Linked DNA regions of Cricetulus griseus. The protein of the gene in region 2 interacts with the protein of the main gene of each other region in a pairwise test. Links are inferred from orthologs where the notes say so. Each region holds a gene or a part of one and is shown on either strand. Other genes may lie near its edges.

The links.
Region 1: the proteins of CUNH1orf94 (region 2) and Gse1 interact in binary tests that used the Homo sapiens proteins (3 or more experiments, as listed by UniProt). The link is inferred for Cricetulus griseus from reciprocal best matches to the Homo sapiens genes C1orf94 and GSE1.
Region 3: the proteins of CUNH1orf94 (region 2) and Plekhb2 interact in binary tests that used the Homo sapiens proteins (3 or more experiments, as listed by UniProt). The two-hybrid records come from large-scale screens. The link is inferred for Cricetulus griseus from reciprocal best matches to the Homo sapiens genes C1orf94 and PLEKHB2.
Region 4: the proteins of CUNH1orf94 (region 2) and Cdkn2d interact in binary tests that used the Homo sapiens proteins (3 or more experiments, as listed by UniProt). The two-hybrid records come from large-scale screens. The link is inferred for Cricetulus griseus from reciprocal best matches to the Homo sapiens genes C1orf94 and CDKN2D.
Region 5: the proteins of CUNH1orf94 (region 2) and Rbfox1 interact in binary tests that used the Homo sapiens proteins (3 or more experiments, as listed by UniProt). The link is inferred for Cricetulus griseus from reciprocal best matches to the Homo sapiens genes C1orf94 and RBFOX1.
Region 6: the proteins of CUNH1orf94 (region 2) and Gcc1 interact in binary tests that used the Homo sapiens proteins (3 or more experiments, as listed by UniProt). The two-hybrid records come from large-scale screens. The link is inferred for Cricetulus griseus from reciprocal best matches to the Homo sapiens genes C1orf94 and GCC1.
Region 7: the proteins of CUNH1orf94 (region 2) and Rad51d interact in binary tests that used the Homo sapiens proteins (3 or more experiments, as listed by UniProt). The two-hybrid records come from large-scale screens. The link is inferred for Cricetulus griseus from reciprocal best matches to the Homo sapiens genes C1orf94 and RAD51D.

Annotation. Positions count from the first base shown.
Region 1 is NC_048596.1:197,195,858-197,199,357, forward strand, and holds part of Gse1 (genetic suppressor element 1), read left to right. Parts: intron 1-1,094; coding exon 1,095-1,208; intron 1,209-1,894; coding exon 1,895-2,266; intron 2,267-3,253; coding exon 3,254-3,500.
Region 2 is NC_048595.1:25,030,073-25,034,298, reverse strand, and holds the start of CUNH1orf94 (uncharacterized protein C1orf94 homolog), read right to left. Parts: upstream 2,801-4,226; coding exon 2,487-2,800; intron 1-2,486.
Region 3 is NW_023276807.1:13,223,288-13,227,244, reverse strand, and holds the start of Plekhb2 (pleckstrin homology domain-containing family B member 2), read left to right. Parts: upstream 1-1,157; 5' UTR 1,158-1,301; intron 1,302-3,957. UniProt on the Homo sapiens protein: Involved in retrograde transport of recycling endosomes.
Region 4 is NC_048597.1:134,146,785-134,150,812, forward strand, and holds the start of Cdkn2d (cyclin-dependent kinase 4 inhibitor D), read right to left. Parts: upstream 2,801-4,028; 5' UTR 2,696-2,800; intron 2,635-2,695; exon of another isoform or gene 2,424-2,634; 5' UTR 2,409-2,423; coding exon 2,268-2,408; intron 800-2,267; coding exon 440-799; 3' UTR 1-439. UniProt on the Homo sapiens protein: Interacts strongly with CDK4 and CDK6 and inhibits them.
Region 5 is NC_048600.1:39,617,981-39,622,066, forward strand, and holds the start of Rbfox1 (RNA binding protein fox-1 homolog 1), read right to left. Parts: upstream 2,801-4,086; coding exon 2,702-2,800; intron 1-2,701. UniProt on the Homo sapiens protein: RNA-binding protein that regulates alternative splicing events by binding to 5'-UGCAUGU-3' elements. Regulates alternative splicing of tissue-specific exons and of differentially spliced exons during erythropoiesis.
Region 6 is NW_023276806.1:199,371,218-199,375,319, reverse strand, and holds the start of Gcc1 (GRIP and coiled-coil domain-containing protein 1), read right to left. Parts: upstream 2,801-4,102; 5' UTR 2,386-2,800; coding exon 1,354-2,385; intron 156-1,353; coding exon 1-155. UniProt on the Homo sapiens protein: Probably involved in maintaining Golgi structure.
Region 7 is NC_048600.1:96,305,149-96,308,648, forward strand, and holds part of Rad51d (DNA repair protein RAD51 homolog 4), read right to left. Parts: intron 1,477-3,500; coding exon 1,395-1,476; intron 1,144-1,394; coding exon 1,009-1,143; intron 506-1,008; coding exon 410-505; intron 1-409. UniProt on the Homo sapiens protein: Involved in the homologous recombination repair (HRR) pathway of double-stranded DNA breaks arising during DNA replication or induced by DNA-damaging agents. Bind to single-stranded DNA (ssDNA) and has DNA-dependent ATPase activity.

The DNA.
Region 1 (3,500 bases), on a different chromosome or scaffold from region 2:
TCTTTGAACAGAGTACTTCCAGGGCTTTCACTAGGACTGAGAGGAGGTGTTGCTTCCTGTTGTAGGGTGTTAAAGGTTTGCATACCACAGGCCCTTCCCCTTGGGGACACCAGTGAGCTCTACGGAGCACTGCTTTTAATGCTAGGAGGCCTGGAGAGCAAGCCATATGGGTGGCCTGTGAATACCAAGCCCAGCCAACTCACAGTAAGCACTCAACAACTTGCCCAGAAAGATGCTTCCAGATCAGTCTGCTATCCTAGGGCCATGTTGGAAAAAAGAGACTTGGAACTGGAATCCATAGCATAGAAGACACGGTGTGGCCACAACATGCTGAGGCCTCCTTGATCAGCTTGCCACCGTCGTGGGCTAGAGCATTGATGTACACAGCCATGCTCCTGTATGTCTTGGGCCCCTTAAGGGCACTGGCCTCTTCCACAAAGAGTTCCAGGAAAACAGTGCCTCTCTAGGTCTTCAGTTGGTTTGACATGCTTCCTCTTTATTGGAGTTGGCAGTTCCTTTTTCCGTTTTTTTAACAAGCATGGTGGAGGTCTCACTTTCCCAGCAAGGGTTGGTGACGGGCTGACTGCCAGCACAAGCCCTTGGACACATGCCTAGTTGTTTGCAAGCCCGACTTTTCACCTGGCTTCGTGTCTAAAGGACGCCATCAGTACTAAAGCCTCTTAAGTTTCAGAGTTGGCAGGAAGAGTCACCTAAACGGGAATCTTCGGCATGGAGCACTGTAGGGTCTGCTCTCCTTCGCGGGAAATGGCTCCCTTCCTGGTCTCTGGGGGTGGTGCCCTTGTGTTGGGGCCACCCCTGGTCTTCAAACCAGATTATCTGCTAAGAAGGAAGTCAGCGTGGAAGCCCCCAGGCAGCTGCTGCTCATGGCTATAGATGTGGCTGCCTGGAGTGTGAGCCATGCAGGGAAAGAGTCTGCTGCTGTCACCTGCTTCTTCCTGTCTGCACAGCCAGCCATGGTGCTTGCCTTTGGTGCCTCTTGGTGTAAAGGGCTTGTACTTGCTGATCACGGTGGCCAGACCCCGCCTTTCCTCCCTCCCAGAAGTACTGCTAACCTCGGGCTACTTTCCTCACAGACAGAGAGAGGCTTGTTGAAATGCTCCGTGCCATGAAGCAGAGGGCACTGTCCGCAGCAGTGGCAGACTCAGTGACAAACTCCTCGAGGGACAGTCCTTCCATCTCCCTGAGTGGTAAGGGAAGGACACCCCACCCTCAAGTGTCCTGTAGCTTGCGCCACAGGGTTAGAGTGGCACTCAAAGTCTTGTCTTCGTGGTGAACTTGACCTACTGGAAGCTGGGCTTCTCTCCAACCCTCTTGTGTGGTCCACCACCATCCTGGTTGTGCCTTAGGACACAATGCAAATTAGAAAGTGGGCTTGAAGTTCAGGGGAGGGCGCTGACTTCATGGAGCTGCCCATCAGCTGCGGGCCGTAGCTGTCATCCCCCAGAGAATGGGCCCGAAGCCCCTGGAGTGTTGTCCCCAGCGGAGGTTGTGCTACAGACCCTGCCTGGCTCTCCAGACACCTGCTCTCTTACTCCTCTCTGCTGCTCTCCAGCTGAAGGAAGCTGAAGCCTTGGGGTCCCATCTCTTGCTGCCTCTTCACCTGATCTCCCTAAGTTGGATGAAGTTACTTACTCCTGCCTTCTCAGCGCTTCCTGCTGCTCTTTCTCCCCACCTGTCTTCTGGGAACTGTTCACAGTTGGACTTGCTGCTAAACATGCTACTCTTCAGACTCTAGCCTCATGCAGTGTTAACATAGGATGTTCACACTGGGTCTTCCTTTCTGCAGATGTAAGCTCTAGCGGTCAACAGGGTCCTTGTGCCTGTTTTTCCACAACTTATAACCTTTCTTTCCCTCATTTTCTGTCTTTCAAAGAACCAGCCACACAGCCAGCTCCTCTAGAGACAGATCAACCTGCCGGAGTCCCTGCCTCCTTGTCAGATGTCCCAAAGGCCGTGGAGACTGGGAGACTGGAACAGCTCCGGCCTCAGGAGCTCTTGAGGGTCCAGGAGCCAGCGCCTACCAGCGGTGAGAAGGCCAGGCTGAGTGAGGCCCCCGGGGGCAAGAAGAACCTGAGCATGCTTCATTATCTCCGGGGCGCTGCGCCCAAGGACATTCCTGTGCCGTTGTCCCACAGCATCAATGGGAAGAGCAAGCCTTGGGAACCCTTCATGGCAGAAGAGTTTGCACATCAGTTCCATGAGTCAGTACTGCAGTCCACACAGAAGGCTCTGCAGAAACATAAAGGTAACAGGCCACATGCCCCCGTCACCTGTTAGGCCATTCACGTATTAATAGTACCTCTTAAACTTTAATGCCTGTAAAGCATTAAAGGTCTCACTGGGCATGGGAGTGGGTGAGGTGAACCTCAGCTTCTTTCAGACTTGTAGCAGGACCTAAAGCACCTGGTCAAGAACCACGCACCTTAGTTAGCAAATGGCAGTTCAGTAAGGCCAGAGCAAGTGTCCTCTGTGCGAGTGCAGTCCACAGCAGTGACCTTTCCAACAACCACATAAACTCACTTGGAGATCTTTTCTGGTTCGTTGCCAAGGTACTGTGTGTCCATCCCCCCAGGGCCCAGTGATTGTAGGGATAGCAGTTTTCCTGCCCTGCTCCCCCAGCAGGAATAATTCAGTCACCATGCCCTCCAGTCCATGTTAACGGCTTCATACCAAGCTCACAGACAGAGTGTGTCACTGAGCTGACTCTGCTGCTGGAGCCCAGGAAGCAAAGGCAAGAGCTCAGGTGGCTGGTTAGAGGCGGAGGCAGCATTCCTGAAGTTTGCTGGCCAGCCAGACTAAACAAAACAGGAGAGCAATAGAGGAAGAAAACCAGAGTTGACCTCTGGCCTCATGTTGCCTCACCTGTGAGGAAAAGCCCCAGGAGAGAGGTGCTAACTGGGTCTTTGTGAGTTTATTGGAAAGATGGTGCTTTGGCCAGAGGCAGCAGATTGCTCCCTGCTCCTTAAAATGGACAGGCTCTTTGAAGTGGCATCTAAGGGACACGTTGCTTAATAGTTTTCAAGTGAGGCCACCAGCAAGACTGAGCCATCTCCTTCTAGAGGGACAGTCCATGTCTTGGTCAGGGAACACCTCTGCCCTGCCCTCATGAAGGAGGCTGTGCTTACAAAGTTACAGATGTGCCCATGGGATCGGAACTCTGGTGCATGTTTGTCTCCATGGATGACTTTCAGTTGAGCCCTGCCCTTCAAGATCCTCATTTTCTCCTCCCCAGGAAGCTCAGCTGTGCTGTCTGCAGAGCAGAACCACAAGGTCGACACGTCAGTCCACTACAACATTCCTGAGCTGCAGTCCTCCAGCCGGGTTCCCTTGCCCCAGCACAATGGACAACAGGAGCCGCCAGCTGGGAGGAAGGGTCCCCCTATGCAGGAGGTGGACCAGGACTCTGAGGAGGACAATGAAGATGACAGTGAAGAGGAAGCTGAGGAAGCCCCCAGGCGCCAGTGGCAAGGGATTGAGGC
Region 2 (4,226 bases):
CCAACCTATCTTGCTTCCCTGTTGGCCAACAGTACTTTATTTATCAGCCAATAAGACAAACATATGCACAGAAGGACCTCCCCCATCAAAACTCTACACATTAGGCAGGGGAAAACCCAGCAGGTGTGTATCTGAACACATAAGAAACAGTGGTGTGCCCTCTAGTTTTAAAGTTTACCCTTCATCACTCAGAACATGGGGTTCCCACAGATATATATGCAGGCAAAACATGAGTGCACAGAAAATAAAAAATTAAAAAAAAATTAAAAATTTAGATCTATAGGCTCTCGCTACCTTTATTTTGGGGGTTTGCAAATTTGTATAGTGAAAAAAGAATGGGGAATTTGAAAAGGTACTACCTCTTGCCTGCAAAAATTTCAAGATTTACAGAAATTATAACTGCTGTTCTTAGAAGGAATTTATGAATCCTAATTACTAGCAGGACCATTGAACGATTCAGATTTGCCACCTCCAGCAACCCCTACTGTCACCTCCATTTGGCAGATGACCAAAGTTAAGATCCACCATACAGTCACAGTTCTGCATCCAGCGCGGGGCTGAACCTGGTTGTCTGACTCCAGAAGCACTGGCTTTCATTTCATGAAGTTCTCATTGTGTTCTACCAGGTGGATAGCTACAACTATGATGTGGTTTATTCCTCCAAGTAGGTGGTTTCCTGGGTCTCTTCTCAGTCACCAAACTCTTTCAAATGCAACCATACTCAGAACTCCAGTAGTAAAACCAACAAAAGCCTGAACAGCTCTGACTAAAGTATGTGTGGGACCCAGCAGACAACCCACTTGACTCTAGGGTGGCTGTGTGAAGCACCCTTGGGACTTGGAGACCACATGAAAACTCCAGAAGAAAGCCAACAGCAGTAACCCTCCCACCCCAAAACTCGGTGCATTACATATTAAGGCGGTCTTGTTTCTATAATGCATCTTTCATTTCTTTGTTTCCCATCACATTTGACCCTCATTATCGACTCTGAGTTGACAAGGCAGGGCACATCATCCTCAATTTGCAGATGAGGAAATCAGGGCCAAACAGAATGAATCAACTGGCCAAAGGTAGGCTAGTTCAATTTCTGGCCAAGTGTGGACTGGAAGTAGAGTCTGTCTCCATGAATTCAGTGTGACCTGGCAGAGAAGGGGCTATCTACTGGAAATTGCTACTGACCTATGATCCAGAAAGTGGACAATCAGCTCCTTGGCCATTGAGAGAGCTGAGTACAGCCCCCAAGGTTTCCCATGCCAAGGCACTGTCCCAGAGCAGATGGCAATGAACAAGACAGAGGAGCTCGGTGCCACTGAAAAGACTAGCCACAGGATTCTGGCTATAGAAAGGCCATTTCCATCTGAGCCGGGTCCTGCTGAGCATAGGGCAGAGGAGGCAGAAGCAGCCAGCATGCCTTCTACCTTCATCTGCATCAAGCAAAGGAGCTTGCAAAGGGATTGCAGGAAGTGCAGACCTGAGCATCTGCTATACTTTTCTTTCCCTCTCAGCTATTGCTTAGAGAGCCCTGAAACCTGAGGCAGCTGATAAATGCCTGAATGGTTCCCCCATCTCTGAACTGAGTTGGAGCATGTGTTGGGGGCAGACAACACTTAATTATCACTTAGGCTTTAATTGGCACTTAATTATTAACACTTAATCCATCTGTAAAATGGGGACACTAATACCTGTTTCATAGGGATGCTGGGAGGATTAATTAACGCTTGCAGCCCACTTTGAAGGTGCAGAGCCTTGAAAGAGTACTCAGCAGTGACATTAATCACCAAAACGAATGCACTCCTTCTCCTAATGAGATCCCTTCTTCCTCTCTGCTCCTTCCTCTCATTTCCAATATCCAGCCCCAACAATATCTCTTCAACTTTTTCCTAGTGCAGAAACACTTAGCTCTGTGTTTCCCAGACATGGGATTTCCCATCCGGGAAACCGGCTATTTACAGTCATCTTCCCGCACTTTAATTTTCTATTATGTCCTCTGAATATGTCAATGCCTTCCCAGTAAATATTTTGATGTGCGCTCTTGCAGTAGCTCTGTGGATGCTGAATGGGACAGCTGCTCTCTGTATTAGGGGATTCCAGATGTGGTTTCCAGCCATCAGACTCATCTGTGCCAATGCCTGAACTTTTCTTGGGAGAGGGGAAAGATCACCTAGTTGCCTCTGGGGACAGTGATATTACCCCTAGGCTTGGTGAGAATACTCTTGCCAGGACCCCAGATTTTCATCTTAGTTGTCTATGCCTTTAGAATGACAATGTCTCCTTAGTATCTGGAAAGAAGCCATCAGGAATGGTTTCTTCCCTTGCTCCTGGAATTTCAGCACCGTGGCCAGCTCCCTCCTCCAAACTACCCATACTAAGGGATGAAGAAAATGTTTATAGAGTTTAACACTGGCCAGAGAGAGTTCAACCCTAAGTCAGACTTCATTTCCCCTCCCTCCATTCCTTGATAATCAACCAAACAGGGCACTACTCACTCTTCTTGGAAGCTGACAGTCGCGGTCATCGGCGCCGAGAGTTTCTCCAGCGAGGTCCTGGGTTGCAGGGACTCCGGCAAGCCCTGAACTCTCTTCCAGATGTCATGGCAAATCTTATCTAGGCTATCCTGGGGTGTGTCCTGGTGGATCCACACGTATCTGGGGAATGGCCCCAGGGCGGAGGGACGCTTGGCCACCATGGCCGAGGATGGAGGGAGCCCATTTCCACTGGCCATCCTCTTTCTCTCTTTCCGGAAGCCCCTTTGTCCACCCAGGGCTGGGAGACAAAGGGACTGTCCACCACCAGCCCTCATTCACCAGAAAGGGAGCTAAAGACTGGGCCTGGGAAGTAGTCAGTTCTAGCTGGCTGATGCTCCAGCCAAGGGATGGGTTTCAGAGGCGTTTTGTTTGGGTGGGGATGAGGAGTAGGGGGCAACTTTCTTTTGGGGAAGGGGGGCTTATGTTGACTTGCTTTTATTTGCTCTTTCCTGACTTTTGCCCCCCTCCCCCTCTCCCGTAGAAGAAAATATTTAAAAGTCAACAAAAACCAGTAACTTAGTAACCGTGGAATGCCCCGGAACTCAGGAACCAAGCGCCTGGGCGGGCAGAATGACATCTGGGAACGACTGGAGGGGAGGACTGGCTCTCCCCACAGAACCCGGCACACCCCCGTTGCGACACCCCTGTGACACCTTTCAGGGCCTGTGACTCAGCCCATTCTCGCCTGTCAAGCCGCCAGGAGGGCTGAGTAAGGGCTGGGCACTGTACTAGACTGGGTGGGGGCAGGCCATGGGACTGTCTCCTCCCACCTTCCCAGAGATCCGGTGCACGCCAAGGGCTAACGGCCCTCGCCCACCGCAGTTCCTGGCTTTAGCTCTCCCGGCTGCCCCCTTCTGTCCCTCTCTCTCTGCTGCTGCTACTGCTGTTCTGCCTCCCTAGAAAGAAATCTCCTATGCGGTGTTGTGCTGGCAGTCAGCCTGGCCTAGGTCCCCAGCGGACACCTGTAGCGCCTCCGCGCAGAACTGAGACCCAGCACCGCAGAGGGTCCCAACCCTTAAAAGGGCGCCGATTGGGCAGGGTGGGCCGGGGCGGGGGTCAGCAGATTTGCGTGCCGAGTATCTCCCACTCCCCTGCCGTCGAGAGCTGGGATTCTTTCTGTGGGTTCAAGCGCAACGGCTCGGCGGCTGGGTGCGCGGGGACACGGGCCAGGCGTTCGTATCCAAGGTCCGCTGGTGGAGTGGGGGCGGGGTGCAGCCGGGAAGACCCCAGAGAGCTTCCCCTTTGAAGTAAGTCAAAATGAAACACTGTCTCCACCCCCACCACTACAGACATACTTAAGAGCCTCTGAGGGGTGGGCGACCTGCCCTTTTGTCCTCTGGCATTAATCCTAACTGCCATTCCAAGGGAGCACCGAATGCCAAGGGCTGAGCTCAAATCTTATCCTATTCCAGGTCAAGAGTTTAGTACTACTTCTTATTCGGCATACATGAGTCTCCAAGTCCTAAAAAGTTGTGTTTGTCCAGAGTTCAAGAAGGAAGGCTGAAATTCAAAAACTCAGGACTCTAGACCTGATCTAGTGCCCTGGGCTCCTAAGCGACCCCAGCGCTGGGACAGGGACTCGAGAGATAGAAAACAAACAAACAAGAACTCATCTCACTCTACTAGACTAGAGATCGGTAGTTCCCATCCCCCCCCAAACTTCTTACAAGCTGCACAGCACCTTGCCAGGCATTCCCTGGT
Region 3 (3,957 bases), on a different chromosome or scaffold from region 2:
CACCTATGTGCTCTCTCTATGGTGACCAGCCATGGTGGTCAGCCATTTACCCCTGTTCCTCTTCTTAGTCTCCCCATTCTGCCGGGCCTTATAATAAACTTATAGTAAGTATGTCTGTCTCAGCATTTCTCTTTTCTTCTTTTTAAACAAAAGAGTAACAGGTGGTCCTGAGTCTTATGCTTGCTCAGGCCTGTTCCCATTCTGGGGAGTATTCGGTGCCTTGTCCAATATACAAAAAAGTATGGTAGTATATATAATATATATATATATATATATATATATACATATATATATATATATATATATATATATATATATATATTATGGAAATGGGCTCCCCTGGATTCCCAGGCTGTCCTTGAGCTCACTATGTAGGCAAGAATGACCTTGGGCTTCTTGAAGTCTTCCTACTTCATTTCCCAAGTGTTGCAATTACAGTTGTGTACCACCATGCCCTCTTTATGAGCTAGTTTTTTTTTTTATTTGTTGTTTGTTTGTTTTTTATGACAGTGGCTGTGTAGCCCAGACTGGCCTGAAACTCGTGATCCTCTTGACTCAGCCTCCACAGTTCTGGGTTCTGTGCTAACACACACGGATCCTTCCAAACTCCTTTCTTTCTTTCTTTCTTTCTTTCTTTCTTTCTTTCTTTCTTTCTTTCTTTCTTTTTTCTTTTTCTTTTTTTTCCCCTTTGGTTTTTCATACAGGGTCTCTGTGGCTTTAGAGGTTGTGCTGGAACTAGCTCTTGTAGACCACGCTGGTCTCGAAATCACAGAGATCCTCTGCCTCTGCCTCCCGAGTGCTGGGATTAAAGGCGTGCACCACCACCGCCTGGCCTCACTTATTTCTGTAATCGTTTTACTTTATATTCTAAGTTATAACAATTCTTTGTGACTTATTGCGAAGGATTCCAGCTTTGTTCCTCGGTTGCTGTTTCAGTTTTGACATCTTCATTTTCTAGTTTCCGAGCACGCTGTTCTCAATTCTGGCTCAAAGCAGGCTCTGCTCGCCCTTGGTTTACCCCAGTTAGGCAGTCATACAACTTCTCCGGGAAGCTGAGTTTGGAGGCCAAGTTCAGAAAACTTAGAACCGCCTTTGAGGTGATAGATAACTAAGCCCCAGTTAGGAGGAACTGCTCAGACTCGGCGCCGGCCGGCCCTGCACCCAGGCAGGCACCTGCCTCCCGCGCATGCGCGCCGGGCGGTGACGCAGGACCTGGACTTGCGCGTTCAGCAAAGAGCAGAAGAAGCCGGCGACCTTGCACTCCCAGCCTGATTCTTGCCTAGCGGACCGAACATTCGCAGGTGACTGTGCCCGCGGTGCCCCACTGCGCCCGCGTGCGACCCCTTCCCGGGACCTCCCCTGCCGGAGTACCCCATCCGGCCCTGCTCCACGTCCCTCCGGGGTGGGGGGTAACCACCTTCGCCAACACTCCCTCTCCAAGCCCGGCTCTTGGGCACTCCAACCTTGCTGGCCGCGCCCACTTCCTCAGCCTCACGTCCTCTCTTCGGTGACCCCTCTCAGCCACTGTTGCTTCTCCCTTCCCCAAAGTCCCCCCGCCACCACCCCTTCTCGCTCTCTTCCCTTTCTCGAATGTCTCCATTCTGACCCACGCCCCTCCCTCTTCTCTGATGTCGCCCTTCCTGATTGTATCCCGCCCCCACCAGCTCCTGCCTCTCCGGAGTCCCTTATCCTGATTGTATTGCCTCAGCCTCTGCACTACTTGTATTCCCTCCACCTCCTGTCTCCTTCCCTGTCCCCAGTGTCCCCCACGCTGGTTGTATTCCCCTTCGAGGTCTCTGTCTCTTCCCCCTACCCTGTTCATTGTCTCCATCCTGATCTGTCTTCCCTGCGTAGTCTTTCTTAATGCTCTGTCTAGCCTAGCGCCCCCCCTTTCCCTGGGTCCCCGCGGGTTTCCCCAGTGTTCCCCACCATAATCTTTTCCCTCCCTTCCCTACTTCTGGCCCATTCTGGTGCCCCTCCCCTTCTCCTAGAGCCCTTTCCGGGCTCCCCAAAGGCCCACATCCTGGTTATATCCTCCCCAACCCAGAGCATCCTTCCCCGTGTCCCCTATCCTGATGGTATCTTCCGTAGAGCCGCTTAGTCCTGACCCCCCCTTCTCCACCCATGGCGGGTGAGGAGGTGGTGGGGGCGCACTGCTGAGGATGGGACGTCTCAGGCCCCGCAAGGGACCGCTACTGCCTCACTGAGACCCTCGGGTTACTTGTCGCCTGCCATTGCCTGGCTCTGGTGGGCCCTCCTGTTCTACTGCACTTCCATGGTCGGCAGTCTTACCCTGTCTTTAGTTCAAGCGTAACTCCTTTTTATTACATTTAATTGTTACGCAGCTAGACTGAGACCTTGGGAGGTCAGGGATTTTATTTGGGATAAGCAGAAATTGTTTGTTGTATCTTAACTTTCAGATGCATAGTGGTTTACAAAGAGACCTCATGAAGGAGTGGAGTAATTCCCAGTGTTTTAGAGTAGGTGGAAAGGTTACAGATTCTAGAGACTGCATGTCTAATTCAGAACACACTGATTAATCCCTCCAAAGAAGCCTACCTCCCTCTCCCTCCCTCCCTCCCCCTCCCTTCCTCCCTCCTCCCCCCTCTCTGTGGTGTGTGTGTGTGTGTGTGTGTGTGTGTGTGTGTGTGTGTGTGTGTGTGTGTGTGTGTGTGTGTGTGGTTTACTAGGATAGAAAGACTGGTCTCTTGTGGTCTTTGAGGCAACCAGTGCAGGAAGTGACTTGTCCCACTTTACAGGAAACAGTGAGGTGGCAGCTGGGATTTACTGCCTGCTGACTTAGGGTGATGTGTGTTTGCTGAAGGAGTCATTGACCAAACATGGCTGTGTGTCTGCCAGCCTGTGCTGTGGTTTTGCCTTCTAGAGTGGAGAAGGGCATGTAGCTGGGAGTACTGTTGCTGCTGGCTCCTTCCTTAGGGTGCTTGGAGTGTTTCCTGGGCCCAGGAAGCTTTGCCTCTGTGTGGTCAGCAGGATTTGGTTAGGACAGATGGCCCCAAAAGAGACCCTCTAGCCAGGCAGGTGCTTGTCCTGGTTTCTCTAGTGTCTGTGATGTTTATTTTGTGTATGAGAGATTTCCCACTGTTCTTCCTCAGGGCAGGAATCAAAGGTGTTTTTCTGTCAGACACACAGTAGATGTTCAGTAAGTAAGGATGTTAGCATATCTTTGTAAGTAAATTCCCTGATAATAAAGACTGAATTTATGAAACTGGTGGCTCCTCTCACTATGTCTGTCTGCTATCTATCTCTTATCTATCTCTGGAAACTGTACCTTTAGGTTGTAGGTTTGCAGAGAGCCAGTGATCTGAGAGGGAGGCCGTGTTCATACCGTTGAACAGGCTCTAATAAGTCAGCTGCAGTTGACAGGTGGTACAGCAAGGGGGAAACGGAGGCAGTCTGACATTGCACAGTCTGCTATTCCTACTCAGTCTTGGCCTGCTGGTCAGGAGATCAGCCTAGACCCTGAAGTTCATGATGTCTATGCATTCCTCCTGATTGTCTGTCTGCTCTTCTCCGTTACAGTCTCTGTTAACTGGGTTTGGACATTCTTAAAATATCAAGTCCTGTGTTCCTCCCGGTGCCTCCTGGGCCAGAGGTTAACTCAGAATAGCAGACCATGAACAGGGGTGTGTGCAGATTCCTTTCTACAATACATCTTACCAACTTGTCCCTAAAATATAGAGGATAAAAGTGCTCTATCTGCCCTTCCTGTTCCTCGCCATTCCCTATTGTTAGTAATAAGTGGTATCTGTGAGTACTGTATCATAAGGACGGCGGCATCCTGCTGCCACGCGTTTAGTTTAGTTTAGTTCCTGTAAGGAACTTCCTGGCATAACCATACCATTTGCAACCAAAAGAAGTTAGACAGATGAGATGGGTAAAGAAAAACCAGTGAAGTTTCCCTGAGGCCTGCAGGGCTCAGGAGCCAGGAGGCCAGAA
Region 4 (4,028 bases), on a different chromosome or scaffold from region 2:
ACTATCTTTTTAACTGATTCGAAACGTTTTCCCCTCTCCCTCCCATGCCCAAAGTAGGTGGCTCACACTTAGGGCTCTCTGAGCACAGCCTTCCAAGGTCACCAGCTTCCAGGAGCTCAGGAGACGATGACCTCACTCTGAGGCTAGGGCTTTAAACCTCTGCCCTGAGGTCTCTGCGGCCAGGTGCAGGGAAAACTGAACCGTTTAGGCGGCTGTTGCCTGTAGGAGCCCCTGCTCTGTCCAACACACCAAACGGGGTGAGAAAAACACATGAGAAAGTCCCCCAAACACACTCACTCAAGAAACCAACACCAATAAACCACAAAATGCTCCTCCCACTCCCTTCTTCAATGGATGGGAATAAAGAGCGAAAGTTTCTTTTCTTCTCTGTTGACTTGTAACCCAGTGAGGCTCCTTGGCTGGAGACAGCGGCCCTGGGTCACATTGGGATCACCATGTGTCTCTGCAGGATGTCCATAAGGTTCTGATCTCCTCTCTGCTGGGCCAACTCCAGGGGGGTGAGACCCGAAGTGTCCCTGTGATGGAGGTCAGATTCGGGAGCCAGGAAGCTGACCACAGAGCTATGGCCCTCTTTTATTGCCAGATGGATGGGGAGTGACCCGGTGCCGTCCAGGGCATTGACATCAGCGCCATGCTCCACCAGGACCTTCAAGGTGTCCAGGAACCCAGTGCGAGCTGCATCATGCACTGGACTGGTACCAGAGGCATCTTGGACATTGGGGCTAGCACCTTGCTTTAGGAGTTCCAGAGCAACTGCTGGACTTCCAAACATCATGACCTATGGGGGTGGGGAACAGAAAGTCAGGAGGTTCCCACTGGAAAGTGGTCAAGCAGAAAGAGAGGTCTACCAGAAATCCAGAGTGCCAGTGAAGGGGCCCTTTAATGAACAGGGACACCCCAAGAGAGACAGGCCCCCAGGGAGCTGCTTGGGACCCCAGAAAACAGGTTCTTTGGAAATAAGGACCATACACACACACACACACACACACACACACACACAGAGAGAGAGAGAGAGAGAGAGAGAGAGAGAGAGAGAGAGAGAGAGAGAGAGAAAGAGAGATCATTTACCAATACAAAAGACTCTAACTCCAAAAGTGACTCTCATGAAAACTTTAAGGGGCCAGGCATAGTGACCACTCCTGTAATCCCTGCACTTGGGAGGACGAGCCAGAAAGATAGCCTCAAATTTAAGGCCAGCCTGATACAGAGTGAGACCTTGTCTCATAAATAAAAAAGTAATGAAGAAGAAAGAGAATGAAGGGAATGGGGAAAGGAAGGACAGGAAGGGAGGGTGAAAACTCTCAAGGATCCAAGAGCCTCCCTCAGGGACAGGGCACCCCCATATGGGAGATCACTAGAGCTGTTAAACCCCTCCAGACAATGCAACCTTGTTTTCTGAGAACTACTTAGAATTTTTGAGAAAAAAAAATGCTCTAGAGAATTTGGATCCCCTTTCTCTAGGGAAAAAATTTTTTTGTGTGTTTTTTTGTTTTTTTATTTATTTATTTTTTTCGAGACAGGGTTTCTCTGTGGCTTTGGAGGTTGTCCTGGAACTAGCTCTTGTAGACCAGGCTGGTGTCAAACTCACAGAGATCCTCCTGCCTCTACCTCTGCCTCTGCCTCCCTAGTGTTGGGATTAAAGGAGTGTGCCACCAACACCCTGCTAGGGAAAAGTTTAGACATAGGCATGATGTTCAGAATATATGTGCACCCATGAAAAAGTGGGACCCTGTACAAAGTCCACCCCAAATTATGGGGCCGTCAAGCAATAGGTTTTTTTTTTTTTTTTTTTTTTTTTTGTAACTGGGGCACTCAGAAGATTAAAAAAAAAAATCCACATCACTTTCAGAAATGAAGACTTCCCCCACCCCCAAATAACCAGAGACCCTTAAAAAGGACTCCTACAAAAAATAGCTCTATCCCTTGGAGGAGCATCCTACCTTCCTGAGATCGAATGCCTTCTTAGAGGCCCTCCCAAAATTTGAGCTGTCCGCAAAGACTGGAATGAAAAGAAGCTGAACCACAACCCACCCACGGAATAAAAGTCTGCAGCAAAACTGAATCTTTTAGGCTTGAAGACAAGGGATTCTTTAGAGCTGAAAAGTCATCCTCTCCCCGTGCCCCCCCCCCGCATTACCCCACCCAACATTGGTGCAAACAAGGAATGGTCCTCAAGGGGATCACCAAGCCGGGTCAGGAGACAAGGAAGGATGGGGTGTGGGCGCCGGGTGTCAGACAGGCCTCACCTGCAAGGCCGTCTTGCCAAAGCGGTTCAGAGCGTCAGGATGCACCAGCTCCCGGTGCAGAAGGCGGCGCACCTCTTGCACGTCGCCACGGGCCGCTGCGCCACTCAGCCGGTCGCCGACGCGGACTTCTTCCAGGAGCATCGTGACGCGGGTGGTCTGTGAAACCCACCCAGCCCCAAGCCCAGTCCAGGTCAAGGCTGTGGAACCAGCAAGGGCTGGATCGGAACACGAGGGCTTCCTTTCCCTGGGGCTGTGGCGACACTGGGGCCTACTCTACGGCTACTCCCCTGCCGCAGACCCTTGGCCCTCGGTCCCGCACGACCCCGGCTCTCGCACCCGGCTCCTCCCCCTGTCACCGTGAGAGGCCGCAGGGAACCCCGCCCAACCCTTGGGCACCCGCCCCTTGGGCCGGGTCTCCCCAGACTCACCCTCCCTCCTCCGCTGGCGCAGGCGGGGTCTGCTCTGAGCCGGCGCTCGCCGCCTCCCTAGACAGCCTCCAGTGGGCGGAGCTAGCGCGCCACAGGCCCCGCCCCACAGCGCCCTTGTTTTCTTACAAACTCGCTACAGAGTAGCGGGAGCCGGTGTGCCCAGCACCCGACCTCCATGCGTCCCGCCTACCGGCGACCTCAGCCAATCATCGTGCGTTACTGGGAAGGTTTGTCTCGCCCAGAGAGGTGGTGCATCTCGTGATTGGCCAGCGGGCGGCAACCGGTGTGGCTGCCCGCCACCGCAGGGGGTTTGGTTTTTCAAACCCGACTGGCGGGCGGCCGGGCGGGAAAGAGAGGGAAGACTTAACTGATCCCGGGAGAGGGGTTGGCTGGCGCAGGCTGATCTTGGGTCTTTAGCGCCTCCAGGAGGAATGGAGGGAGGGTTGGAAGCTCCCAGAACTCGAACGTTCGTTCTATTCATTTAGCTCTCTTACTATGCAACTGGGAACTTAGTTCATTCATTCGACTGCTGGGTTAAAGGGATGGACGCTGGGCGGTCAAGTGCGCGCTGTCTAACGATTTTTGTTTGCTTTAAATTTCTGAGACAGGGTCTCACTGTGTAGCCTTGGCTGGCCTGGAACTGTGTAGATCTGTCTGGCTTCAAACTCAGATAGCCACCTGCCTCTACCATCCATGCTGGGATTAAAGGAGGGGGCTCTAGTTTTTTTATTTTTTGTTTTTAAAGAAAGGGTCTTGGAGCTGCAAGATGGCTCAGCGGCCAAGAGCATTTGACGTCCTTGTAGAGAATCAAGAATTCAGTTTCCAACATCCAGGTCACAGCTCTCAGTTATACATAACTCCAGCTCCAAGGGATCCAACGCTCTTGACATCTGCACATATTACATAATAGACAAACACCCACATATTCACATGATTTTCTTTTTTTAAGTGTTTTGAGATAGGATCTTACTATGTAACTCTGGCTGTCTTAGAACTCACTATGTAGACCAGGCTGGCCTTGAACACAAACAGATCTGCCTGACTTTCCTAAATGCAGGGGATTGACGGTGTGTACCAGTACACCTGGCAATTCTTTTCTTTCTTTCTTTCTTTCTTTCTTTCTTTCTTTCTTTCTTTCTTATGTGCATTGGTGTTTTGCCTTCATGTATAGCTGTGTGAAGATGTTGGATCTCCTCAAACTGGAGTTACAGACAGTTGTGAGCTGCTACGTGGGTGCTGGGAATTAAAACCACATCTTTTGGAAGAGCAGCCAATTCTCTTAACCGCTGAGCCATCTCTCCAGCTCTGCAATTTTCTTTTAATTTTTTAAAAA
Region 5 (4,086 bases), on a different chromosome or scaffold from region 2:
TAGTATCTAGGAAGGAACGGGTTGTTAAGATCAAGGCCAGTGAACACATATAACCGAGTCATTTTCCTTGAGTGCTGGGTAAGAGATAGTCCCTATATAAGACTTCATTCTAAGATAAAATATTTCAGTGAGGACCCAGGAGTCCCCAACACATGAGACCGTGTGCATGGATAAAAACAGGATGAGAAATGTTTCACAAAAGATAGGAGGATTTTAATTATTTTTGTATGTAAACTGGCGATGAAGAGGACAGTGGTTTCTGACACATACCTTTTTCCTACACACAAAATTTAATTCTTCTAATGAAGGTATTGTTATTCATAAATGAAGCATGATTCAGTCATCTATTTGATGAATATGCTTTGAAAGTATGAACTAGCTCTCTGCTTATCAAATACATGGATATGTAATATTAGCCATAGATTAGTAGCAGAAAAAAGTATAGTGGTTCCACACGGGCAGAAGATGTGTAGTCTGTACTGATATGTGGCCTGTGGAGATGAAAGGGACTGTCTCCTCTGTAAATCAGCCAGTTTTCTGACCTTGACTTTGAATCATGGCGTTAAAAGGTCAGAAGAGATGACCCCAAGGCACAGGTCTCTGATAGTGAATTTTAGGAAAGGGTAGTGGTGGCAGCTAAAAACCTTGATTGTAAATAGGACAAGCAAAAATAAATGTCTGCCCGTTTTTTATACTTCAGAATTTTAGTAAACCTCAGTAAGGGACATACTTCTGTCACTCTCACCTTTCTGACCCCATGCCTCACTCAGTCGTGGGGAGAACACATTGAGACCTCATTTCAAAGACCGTCCCCCATCTACCTTCCTGGGGAATCGTGCTGTTGATTTAGTCACCTCTAAATATTTGTTATGGCTGCCAGCACTTCCTGTGAGGCTCCTCTCCAAAGCAGGTGCATTCCACAGTGGGAAAGATTGGTGCCACATGATGCACCCTTCCTTTTCACAGAAGAATAGATTCTTGTTCAAAGCCACTGTCCTCCTTCCTAAATTCTTCAATGAGCAAACCAGTTTAATGATGAAGCAGAAATACAGATTAGTTAAAACACATAAGCCCCAGAAACAGAGTAAGCACTGCGCACTCATAACATTCTACGTCTTAAATAACATAATCCAGTTGATTCATAAATAAAATGAAAGGCACAAATATAGGATAAAAAACCAGTTGCTCTAGTAATTTGTTTGATTCAATCCAGCTGAGGTTTAGCAACTGAAGAAATGTTTACTGGAATGTTTCTGTGACAAATAACTGATGTAAAATGCACCGGCACTTGACACACACTCACAACTGAGGCAAGGAAATGGTACATGCTGATGAATCACATATATTATCAATACCTTCCTAAGAGATGGTTCCTGGTATGATTGACTAAATGGGAAACAAAATAAAACAAATACATGTATAAACCAATTTATTCACAAGATGTTTTTAAGGAGCTATTCTCAAAAAAAGACTAGCAGCAGTAAATATGAGGAGGAAAAAAATTGGCAACCGAGCTGATAACAAATTACCCGAATGTTCAAAACAGAACCCCTGACATTTTATGAAGACATATATTTCTGTAGCACAAATTAGAGTGGGACATCTTGGAGGAAAGGGGCTCCTTTCAACTCTTGGAAAAGAAGTTTTGTTAACACACACATGTAACCAATCTTATTCTTAAAGTGAATTCATTGAAAGGCAGGCAAAAGGATTACCCCCGGTGAAAACTTCATAGGACAGGCCAAAGTGAGTCGGGTCATGGATTCCCACCAGCAGACAAAACCCCTCTAATATTGCCAACTCACTGCCACAGACCCCGCCCCGTGATACAGCTGGCCTGCTTCCCCACAGGACAGTGTTAGGTGGTTTCCAAAGCCCCGGAGTATTGTACTCGGCAGAAGCCTTTCTAGTAAGAGGGAGGAGGAGACCCATTGAGGCCCAGAGCAGACACTCAGAGCAAGAACTGAATCCAAAAATTCACAGATGTGGACTGGGTGGGAATGAAGCCAACAGACATCTGGCAAGACCACTGTCAGGGAGTGGACAGGCCTGGGTTATAGAAACAACCAAAGAAGCAAACAAACCACCCTGTGTTCCGGCCAGTCAAGACAGCATCTACCCATGCTCACCCAATGCTGGGGAGTTTCAAAGAAGATTGGGTAGGGGGGCTGTCAAGCTCCAGATATCCCAATGTACTGATTCTTGTGGATGGATAGATAACACAAACTTAACAAAGATCTCTCTCTCTCTCTCTCTCTCTCTCTCTCACACACACACACACACACACACACACACACACACACTACATGCACACTTTGTGTCAATCATTAAAACAGCTGAATTAAAACTACAAACATCAGGATGTCTTCACAGAGCCCCAAACTCTCTCAACATCCTAGAAATCTCCCCTCACCCCACCTCTGGGACTTCTGACATGAGAAAAGATGCTCACAAGAAAAAGCCAGTTTTTTATTTTCAAATTCCCGGTCCCTGAGGCTGGAAATCGGTGTTCACAAAGTATTCAGACAGGTGAATTAAAATAGCATCGTGGCTTAACGGAAAACCAGAAGCTCCCACCAAACCTCGTCCCAATGATCGAGACCCCCCACCCTCCACCCCCCAACGCGCAGCCCACTGAACCGGTACCCAGTCTGGTCAAGCTGAGAAGAAGCTGCCGCTGAGAAAGAGCCGCGCGTCTTACCTGCTGTAAGTACATAAAAGTCAAGGCACACGAGAGCTGGGGACACATGCCCACGTTGGGGAGTGCCACGCAGGTGGCCCCCGTCAGAGGATGCTGCATCGCGATTCTCGGGTGCCCGCAGAGCGAGAGCGGAGATGCTCACATACAATCTACAATCGCGTTGCTTTTTTTTTTTTTTAACCCTCTTGCCTAGTCGCTACAGTTTTTTTTTTTTTCTTTTTAATTTTTGCTGATTATCTAACTCACGCAGCAGTGGCTGTCCCTCTTCCTCTCTCTTCCTCTTTCGTCTCTCTCTTTCTCCCTCCCCCCACCGCACCCCAAGAGAGTCCCTCCTCCCTGGCTCTCCTCGCCCTCGGGTTTGCTAGTACCCAGCGTTCATCAGCCTTCAACTAAAGACACTTGGAGAGGCTGGGAAGTAGTGTTGGCTCCCCTTGGCTTATTGGGCCTGTTGTTGGAGCGCTCTTAAAGTGGAAGGTGCCCCTCATCCCACCCACCTCCGCCACCCCCTAAAGGTGACAAAAATGGGCAAAGTCGACTTCTATGAAAGACAGGGGTTAGGATGCCCTGATAGAGATGCTAGAGAGGGAAGACAGGGATATGTAGTAGGGAAGGGGGAGGAGAAGGAAGGAAGGGAGAGGAGAAGAGGGGGGAGGGGTTGGGGAGAGAGAGAGAGAGAGAGAGAGAGAGAGAGAGAGAGAGAGAGAGAGAGAGAGAGAGAGAGAGAGAGAGAGAGAGAGAGGTTTTGACTCACAGCTTCACTGTAGCTCACTCGCTTGGTGCTGATGCTGGGAGTCTTCTCATTTGTCAAAGAGGTCCAGGGGCAGGGTTGTGGGTTTCTTTCTTTTTTTAAAAAAGGACTCGCCAAAATTTAAATTTTGCCTGCTAAAATCCTCCGATGGGAGGGAGAGGGCGAGCGAACGTATGAGCGCCCCACATCTCCAGCAATCAAAGGAGCTGGACCATTAACAAGACTGCTCAGCTGGGACACTAAGGAGCCCGGGAGATTTTCAGCTGGCGGTTTGTTTGCCTGACTCGTTGGCAAATAAACACAAGAAAGGGATTTCCCCTTTTGTAAGAAGCTTGGGGGTGATGGACACGCCAGGGGTTGGGGTGCTGTCTGTGCAGGGGTGGGGGCTCGAGGAGGTCTCTGCCCCCCCCCCCCCGCCCCCCGCTGCTCTAGGGGCACTGCTTTCTCCCTGGAATCAGCCTACCCGGGGCAAGCAGCCCCGAGCGGTGCGGCTTAACTGGAGAATCCACGCAGCTGTTACACTAAAATGCCAGCTCGAGGTGAATGCAAGGGGCCTTCTCCCAGCCTAGAACCCGTTGCTCTTCTCAAATTATAAATACACGGGGTAGACAAAAGTCCCTGTCTTATAAGAGATTAC
Region 6 (4,102 bases), on a different chromosome or scaffold from region 2:
TCCTTCAGCTTCTGGATGGTCAGCTGGTCTTTCTGTTTGGCTTTCTCATAGGTGCCCAGCAGTTCAGACACCTCAGAGATTTGATTCTCCAGGGCTGCAACCCTTTGTTCTTCTACCTGACACTGCTGGCGAAGCTGGTCCTCCGCAAGGGCTGTCTGCAAAGCAAAGGACAGGTGGTGATGCTTCCAGAAAGGGCACAAAACCCTACTACAGTCACCTGGGTGTGGAGGAGCAAGACATGGAAGTCATGGGTCATGGGATTAGGGTGTCCTGGAAGTGGTGGGAACTGGGATTTTTAATTGAAGTTCCCTTGTGGACGTGCAGTTTCTAGGACAGCTTTCCATTTTTTATTGAGCTTGAATACAAAGTACATTCCTACTAACCATGTGCTTCTCGGATTATTTAAACAAGTTGTGTAACTTCTTTTTCCTTTTCCTCTCTACACTGAAAGGAAACACTATGAAACAGGAGTTTTCCAAAACAGGTAAACCTCAGACGAAGGCATACTTTTTTTTTTTTTTCTGGGAAAATCTCCTTTGCCTCCTTCAGTCCCTCTACCTATAAGCACATACTTCTCAAAACATACGTAACCTTTCACTGCACAGCTGTCACGATATTGCCTCAAACAGCACAGCTGGTAAGGCGCCAGCACCCAGAGGCCTAGATAAGGCTACCTGGCTTGGACCCAGAAATACTCAGAAACTCCTCATCCTGTTGCAAGGACAGTACACAAAACAAGACTTCCTAGGACGCACTGCTGGAATTTTTCAGTTGGCATCAAACATCAGAGTGTGAGTGCCTGCTGGGAATGTGGAACCGGACTGCAATCCCAGCACTCAAGAGGCCAACAAGCACCAGGCCATCCTGACTAAAGCAACTAGTCAAGTCCCCAGCACTTTGTAGCGAAAAGCAGGCAGATCTCTGTGAGTTCAAGACCAGACTGGATTACATGGGGGGACCCTGCCTCATGAAACACACAGAGAGAGAGAGAGGGAGAGAGAGAGAGAGAGAGAGAGAGAGAGAGAGAGAGAGAGAGAGAGAGAGAGAGAGAGAATCTATTCTAATGGCCAAAAGAGAACAATAATAAAACCCTAGTATTTCCTAGTTAAGTTTTTGGGTTTTTTTGTTGTTGTTGTTGTTGTTTGGGTTTTTTTTGTTTGTTTGTTTTGGTTTTTTGAGACAGGGTTTCTCTGTGTAGCTTTGGAGCCTATCCTGGCACTCGCTCTGGAGACCAGGCTGGCCTTGAACTCACAGAGATCCACCTGCCTCTGCCTCCCGAGTGCTGGGATTAAAGGCTTGCGCCTGCCCCTAGTTAAGTTAAAATAATGGTTTGACGGATATGAGAATAATTACCTTCCTCATTTCTTGCTGCAGCTGGGCCTGGAAATGGCTTTTAAGACGGGCAGCCTCTTGCTGAAGCTCTTGCAGCCGCGGGTCTGGTCGGTTCTTCTCATCTTGAATGGCTTGCAGCTCACCTTTCAGCTCCTCTACCTCACGGGTCAGCTGCTTGGTCTGCAGTTCAAAGCCTTCTATCTGATCAGCTGCATATGCCCGCCCTGCCAGGGCTTCTCTGGTCTCTTCTAACCGAAGTTCCAGGTCCTGACGCTGGGTCCTTTCCTCCTGCAACAGCTTCTGCAGCTCTCGCAGCATCACAGCGTGGTCACTCTGCTCCTGGGCGCGATCGTGCTGCTGTGTGATAAGTCGGGCTTTGGTTTCTGCTATCTGCTCCTGCAGCCCCTTCAATTCTCCCACCAGACGGTCCCTCTCTTCCTCTGCCTTTTTATTGGCATCCTCTAGGTCCTGTTTCATCTTCTTTTTGTCTGCCAGGTAAGATGCCTCCATACGGGACTTCTCCTGGGTGACTGTAGCCAAGGAGCTAGTCAAAGTAGCCAACTGAGTCTTCAGCTGATGTAGTCTCTTGTCCATCTCACTCCCCGCAGATGGCCCATCCCCACTGCTACTACTAACGCCACTCTCTGACCCACTGGCCTCTTCGGACTTTAGAGGAAGTGGTCCACGGGCCATTCTGTCATCTTCGACCCCAAACTCACCCTTGATACTCGTAAGACTGGCTGCAGTATCCAAGCTAGTGGCAGTTCCGGTGCTATCCTCACTGTGAGTGGAGCAACGATCATCCACAGAGTCAGGGAGCGTGAGACCTGGAGGCTGCACACTTGCAAGGCCTACATCCGCCTCATGGGATACCGACAGCACTTTGATGCTGGCCTCCAGGGCCTCTTTCTCCTTCAGTAGACTTTTATAGGCCCGGACCACATCCTTGAGTCTAGCCTGGTACTGGAGGAGCTGCTTTTTCTGTGTCTCTATAGTCTCCAGCAGGTCCTTTTTGCTTGGGCCGCCCCCGAAATTCATTCCAAACTTCTCCATGGGGGTTCTGGAGCGGTTTGCTCCACCTCAGTGTTCTGGCAGCCGTGGACAGAGCCTCAAAAACATCTACAAGTGAAGTAGAGAGGACCGTCTGGCCGCAGGCCGCACACCCAGCTGTCCGGGCGGGTTGAGGGGCCGCGGTAGCCAGGCAAAAGCGCTGCCGAGCCGGACCCAAGGTGGAAGCCGGTTCCAACCTGGAGGCGGGGCAACGCTGGCCCAGCAGAAGCGCTCAGCCTCGGCTCTCCAACACTGGCCCAGAGGCCGCTCCACCCCAGCCGCTCCGCTGACCACCAAACCCAGGCCCGCCCACCTCCGCCCAGGATCGGCCCAGGGTTTACACTAAGCTCCGATCCATCTCGATTTCCTAACTCCGGCCGGCTGGCAGCACCGCTTCCGGATCCACTGGAAATGACGGCAGCAAAACGCCACAGACCCCGCCTCCAAGATGCGCGAGGTGGGCGGGGCTTCCGCAGCCAGGGTGCGCTGACAGCCTGGAGAGGGAGTAACCAGAGGGGATGGTTGGGAAAAGCCAAGTCCGGGACACCTGAGCAGTGATTTGGAGAAGATGCCTAACTTTGCCCCCAAACTACCACCAGCGAGCGACAGGGGGCGACGTCGCACTGCGTTTGCCCCAAAAATCCCGGGTTGGAAAGAAGCGTACAACTATTTGGGGCAATGTCCAATATATCCCTAAAAAGCAACAGGACTCATACTAGAAAAACAAGCCCAGCACCTGGCTAACATAAAGCAAAAATAGCCCGCTTCCTTAGTTCTGCTTTTAGATGGACACTAATATAGCTATAAGGTTTATCTTGAATATTGGTATATGGTAGGGGTCTCACAAGAGTTTTTGCTGTTTATTCTGTTCAGAGGATATCATAAACACCAATTTACAGTTGTGGAAGCATACACTGCACAGAGGTGACTTATCCAAAGCCATTCAGCTACTGCTAAGTTTAAGAATCCTACCTCGGTCCACTTCTCAAGGTATTAAGTGCCACGCCAGGCAGCACCCTGAAGAAACATGGTCTTGCTGCCAAGAAACTTGTCACAGCAAGGAACCAGACATGCAAACAAGTAGACCCTGCCCTCACACTGGAATGTGTGGGCATCGTCAAAGTGGTATAAAAGAGATGAAGATGCCTGTCTAGAAGGATGGGGATTCTCGGGGAGAACATTTTTGGGATTTGAAGAATGAGTAAAGACTGCCAAGCAAATTCAAACGTGGGAAACCAGTATCAAAGAAAGTGGAAAAGTTTACAAGAATCATTCCTAAACAGTAGCGTGGGGTGAGAGAGGCGCAGCTACTGATGAGGCTGGAACAGGTAGGACCCAACTTAAAGGCATTTCATCTCGGGCGTCGACACATTAAAAGATTTAATCTCAAGAGGACACCGTCGAGACTCTTGTGGGGCCTGTAAGATGGCTCAGCAGTAAAGGCACTTTCCACCAAGCCCCAACGACCTGACCAGAGTTCTATCAAGAGAACCCACATGGCCGAAGAAGAAAACACATCCCACAGGAGGTTGTCTTCTGACTTCTACACCACGCCCCCCCCACACACACACACACACACACGAGAAATAAAAGTGGGGAGGGGCTAAAAAGCAAGGCTCCTGTGACATTGTGAAGGCACCAAGGGGGCGGGAAGCCTGTGAGGAGACTCAGGCATAAAAAGAGACTAGTGAAATAGTAGTGACAACAGGGATGAAGAGAG
Region 7 (3,500 bases), on a different chromosome or scaffold from region 2:
ACACACACACACACACACACACACACACACACACACACACACACACGGAGACAGAGAGAGAGAGAGAGAGAGAGAGAGAGAGAGAGAGAGAGAGAGAGAGAGTTTTCCTAATTGATTTCAGTGAGTAATGCAGAGATGAAGACAATATAATTCTGTACTCAAGGAGCTCACTGTTGTACAGGGCTGGTGAGCCTGTAAACAATGAAGCACATGAATTATGAATTAAGCACCAAGGAATTCCACCTGAGGCTCAGGCAGGCAGGGGTGGAGGGATGGGGGGTGGCAAACACAGCTGGAGCTGTAACACTGGACACATGCAATCCAAGTAGAGTCTGTAGGACACCTGGCCCAATACAGACAACACCTGGCCAGATGGGTAAAGCAGAAACAGGCAGATGAGCAGGCTCACCTGCTGGGCCATGGAGCCCCGAAGGTCCTGTAGCATATCCAGCATCTGGAAGATGTCAAATACATGCACCACCTGTATCCTCTGGAGAGCACCTGCCTGAGGGGTGGGACAGAGAAGCAGGGACTTGGAAAGGAGATCCCGGAAAGCAATAAATGTAATCACAAAGCTGCAAAAGCAAAGAGGCACTTAGACACAGTGCTGGCATCGGAATGGCAAATGGGTTTTGCCTAATGGGCTGGATCTCACAGTGGTGACTACCTGGGTGCTGAGCTGTAAGACATTCAGGATCCAGCAGGAAGGACAGATATGATTGATTAGTGATGCCTGCCCTGGCAAGAAATGGGCTGGAAACACAGATACAGGCCTTTGCCGCCTCTGATTTATGGTACTCGAGGACTTGGAAGTTCCTGGAGAATCAGTGTGGGTGGCATCCAAGCTGGGATGATGACATTAACATGAGCAGCTCTAGGAATGCAGAGGACGCTCCAGTTTCAAAGTAAGAAATGATGATTCTCATAGATGGTGTATATTCTTACAATGTAGTCATGAAGTCTTCTAACATGAGGATTTTAAAGGAACCCAGCCATCTTGCCCCCTACCTGTTTCTCCTCATCTTGGGTTCTAGCCTGTAGTAGCTGCAGGAGGCGGGATGCTGTCATTCCTCCACTGGAATCAACATACAGTACATTCTGCTGCAGGCTATGGGCCACATTTGCAGCCACACACAGGCACACCTTTCAGAGACAAGATAGGGAACTGAGTAAACCTAAGCCCTTGGAGAAGAGGATCTCACCAGGCAGCTTCTCCACTGAATCCTGCCCAGATTCCAACAACATACACTGGCTAAGGCCACACTCATTCTCAGCCCCTATGTGGTCTGTTCTGACCTTCCAACAACACAGAGACACATGCAAGAACTCCCTGAGGAATCCAGGTCAATGCACCCACCTCCCCCAACCCTCCCCTCTGTTGGCTCCAAGGGTACCTGGGTTTTTCCGCTACCTGGACCTCCTACAATTTCAGTCACCTCCCCTGTATAGAGGCCAGCATCAAGTAGTTTGTCCAGGCTGATGGTTGGAAGGGGATGGAAAAAGAAAGGAGAGAAGAAGCTGTATTAAGTCTGCAGATAAGGCCGGGCATTGGTGGAGCACACCTTTAATCCCAGCACTTGGGAAGCAGAGGCAGGAGCATCTCTGTGAGTTCGAGGCCAGCCTGGTCTACAGAGGGAGTGCCAGGATAGGCTCCAAAGCTACACAGAGAAACCCTGTCTCGAAAAACAAAAACAAAAATCTGCAGATAAATTTGGACTGGGGCAATAGCAACATGAGACCTGACCCAAAAAAAAAAAAAAAAAAAAAAAAAAATATATATATATATATATTATATATATAGTATATATATATATATATATAAAAGCTTAATGGTAGAGTAGTTGCTTATTATATGCAAACCCTGAGTTCAATCTCTAGTATGGGTGGCAGGTCAGGAAGGAGGTTGGAGGTTGGGGAGCGTTGGCATTCACTATTGTAGAATCTTGTAATTCATGAGCACAGAAAGTCTCTCCATTTATTTGATTCACCTTTGATCTTCTTCATCAGCATTTTTTATTTTCAGCATACAAATTCTACATGGTCTTTGTCAGACTTAGACCTATGTATTTCATTTCCTTAGATGTGGCAGCAAATGGCATTGCGTTTTTAATTTCAGTTTTCAAATGTTCATTGTGAGTTTACCGAAATGCAATTGATTTTTACGTGTTGATCTTGTATCCCCAGACCTTGCTAAACTCGATTATTAGTTCTGGGAGTTTGTAATTATTTTTTATTTGCTTGTTTTTGTCTGCCTCCCTCATCTGGTAGGAGCATCCCGGGGGGGGGGGGGGCAAAGACTGGGTCTTTATCCTTGTTTTGTCTCCAGTATTAGCACAGAGCCGAAAACCCTGAAGGCACACAGTAAATGTTACTGAAGAAATGACAAGAACAGTGGCTTGAATGTCAAAACTCAGGCTGTGGAATCCTTGAGATGAACTTCAAAACATGGTCACTTCCTAACCTCACTCCTGTCCCCAACCAACATGAAAACAAGTTACCACTACTCTCCATGTGCTGCCCAGGACGGGGGTGGGGGTGGGGGTGGGCTAAAGTTTCTGTGTGGCAGGCAGCCTGGATCAATGCCTGACTGTCATACACCTCCCTTCCTAACTCGGCAAATATAGTCAAAGACTGCACTGCAGGCCTCTGAAGAGGTTCTTGATGACCAACCATGACATATCAGCACATGACAAGCAGCAACCAGTCACCACTCCACCTATTTTAACTCCAGGGACCACAGGCTCCTGCCTGTCAAAATCTGGTCCTTACTCCAGCTCTGTGGCTTCTGTGTACATCCTGGGTGTGTTTAATAAGCCTCTACTTAATAGGTCTCCAGCCTCTGCTTCTGAATCCCATTCTCCCTGAGACACCAGAAGCCCAGGTCCATCATAGCAGCTCTTCTTGGTGTGTTCTCCAACAGCATCAGCAACACAGTGAGAGACTCTAGACTTAGATCCTGCTTCTGAACAGAGTTTAAAAACTCCATCCAGGTTAGGCTGGCATGAGGGCTTGGTCAATAAAAGTGCTTGCCTTCCAAGCATGAGGTCCTTAGTTTGAGCCAAAGAACATACTAAAAAAAACTGGGGACTGGAGAGATGGCTCAGCAGTTAAGAGCAATGACTACTCTTCCAGAGTAGCGCCTACATGGCAGCTCACAACTGTCTGTAACTCCAAGATCTGACACCCTCACACAGACATGCATGCAGACAAAACACCAATGCACATAGAATAAAAATAAATTTAAAAAAATCTGTGAGGGGCCTCTGGAGACAAGAGGTATCAGATGCCCTGGGTGGTTGTGAGCCAACTTTTCATACCTACACCCTGTCTGAAAGAAATCTCTTGTCACTGGGCGGTGGTGGCGCACGCCTTTAGTCCCAGCACTCAGGAGGCAGAGGCAGGTGGATGTCTGTGAGTTTGAGACTAGCCTGGTCTACAAGAGCTAGTTCCAGGACAGCCTCCAAAGCCACAGAGAAACCCTGAAACCCTGTCTCAAAAAA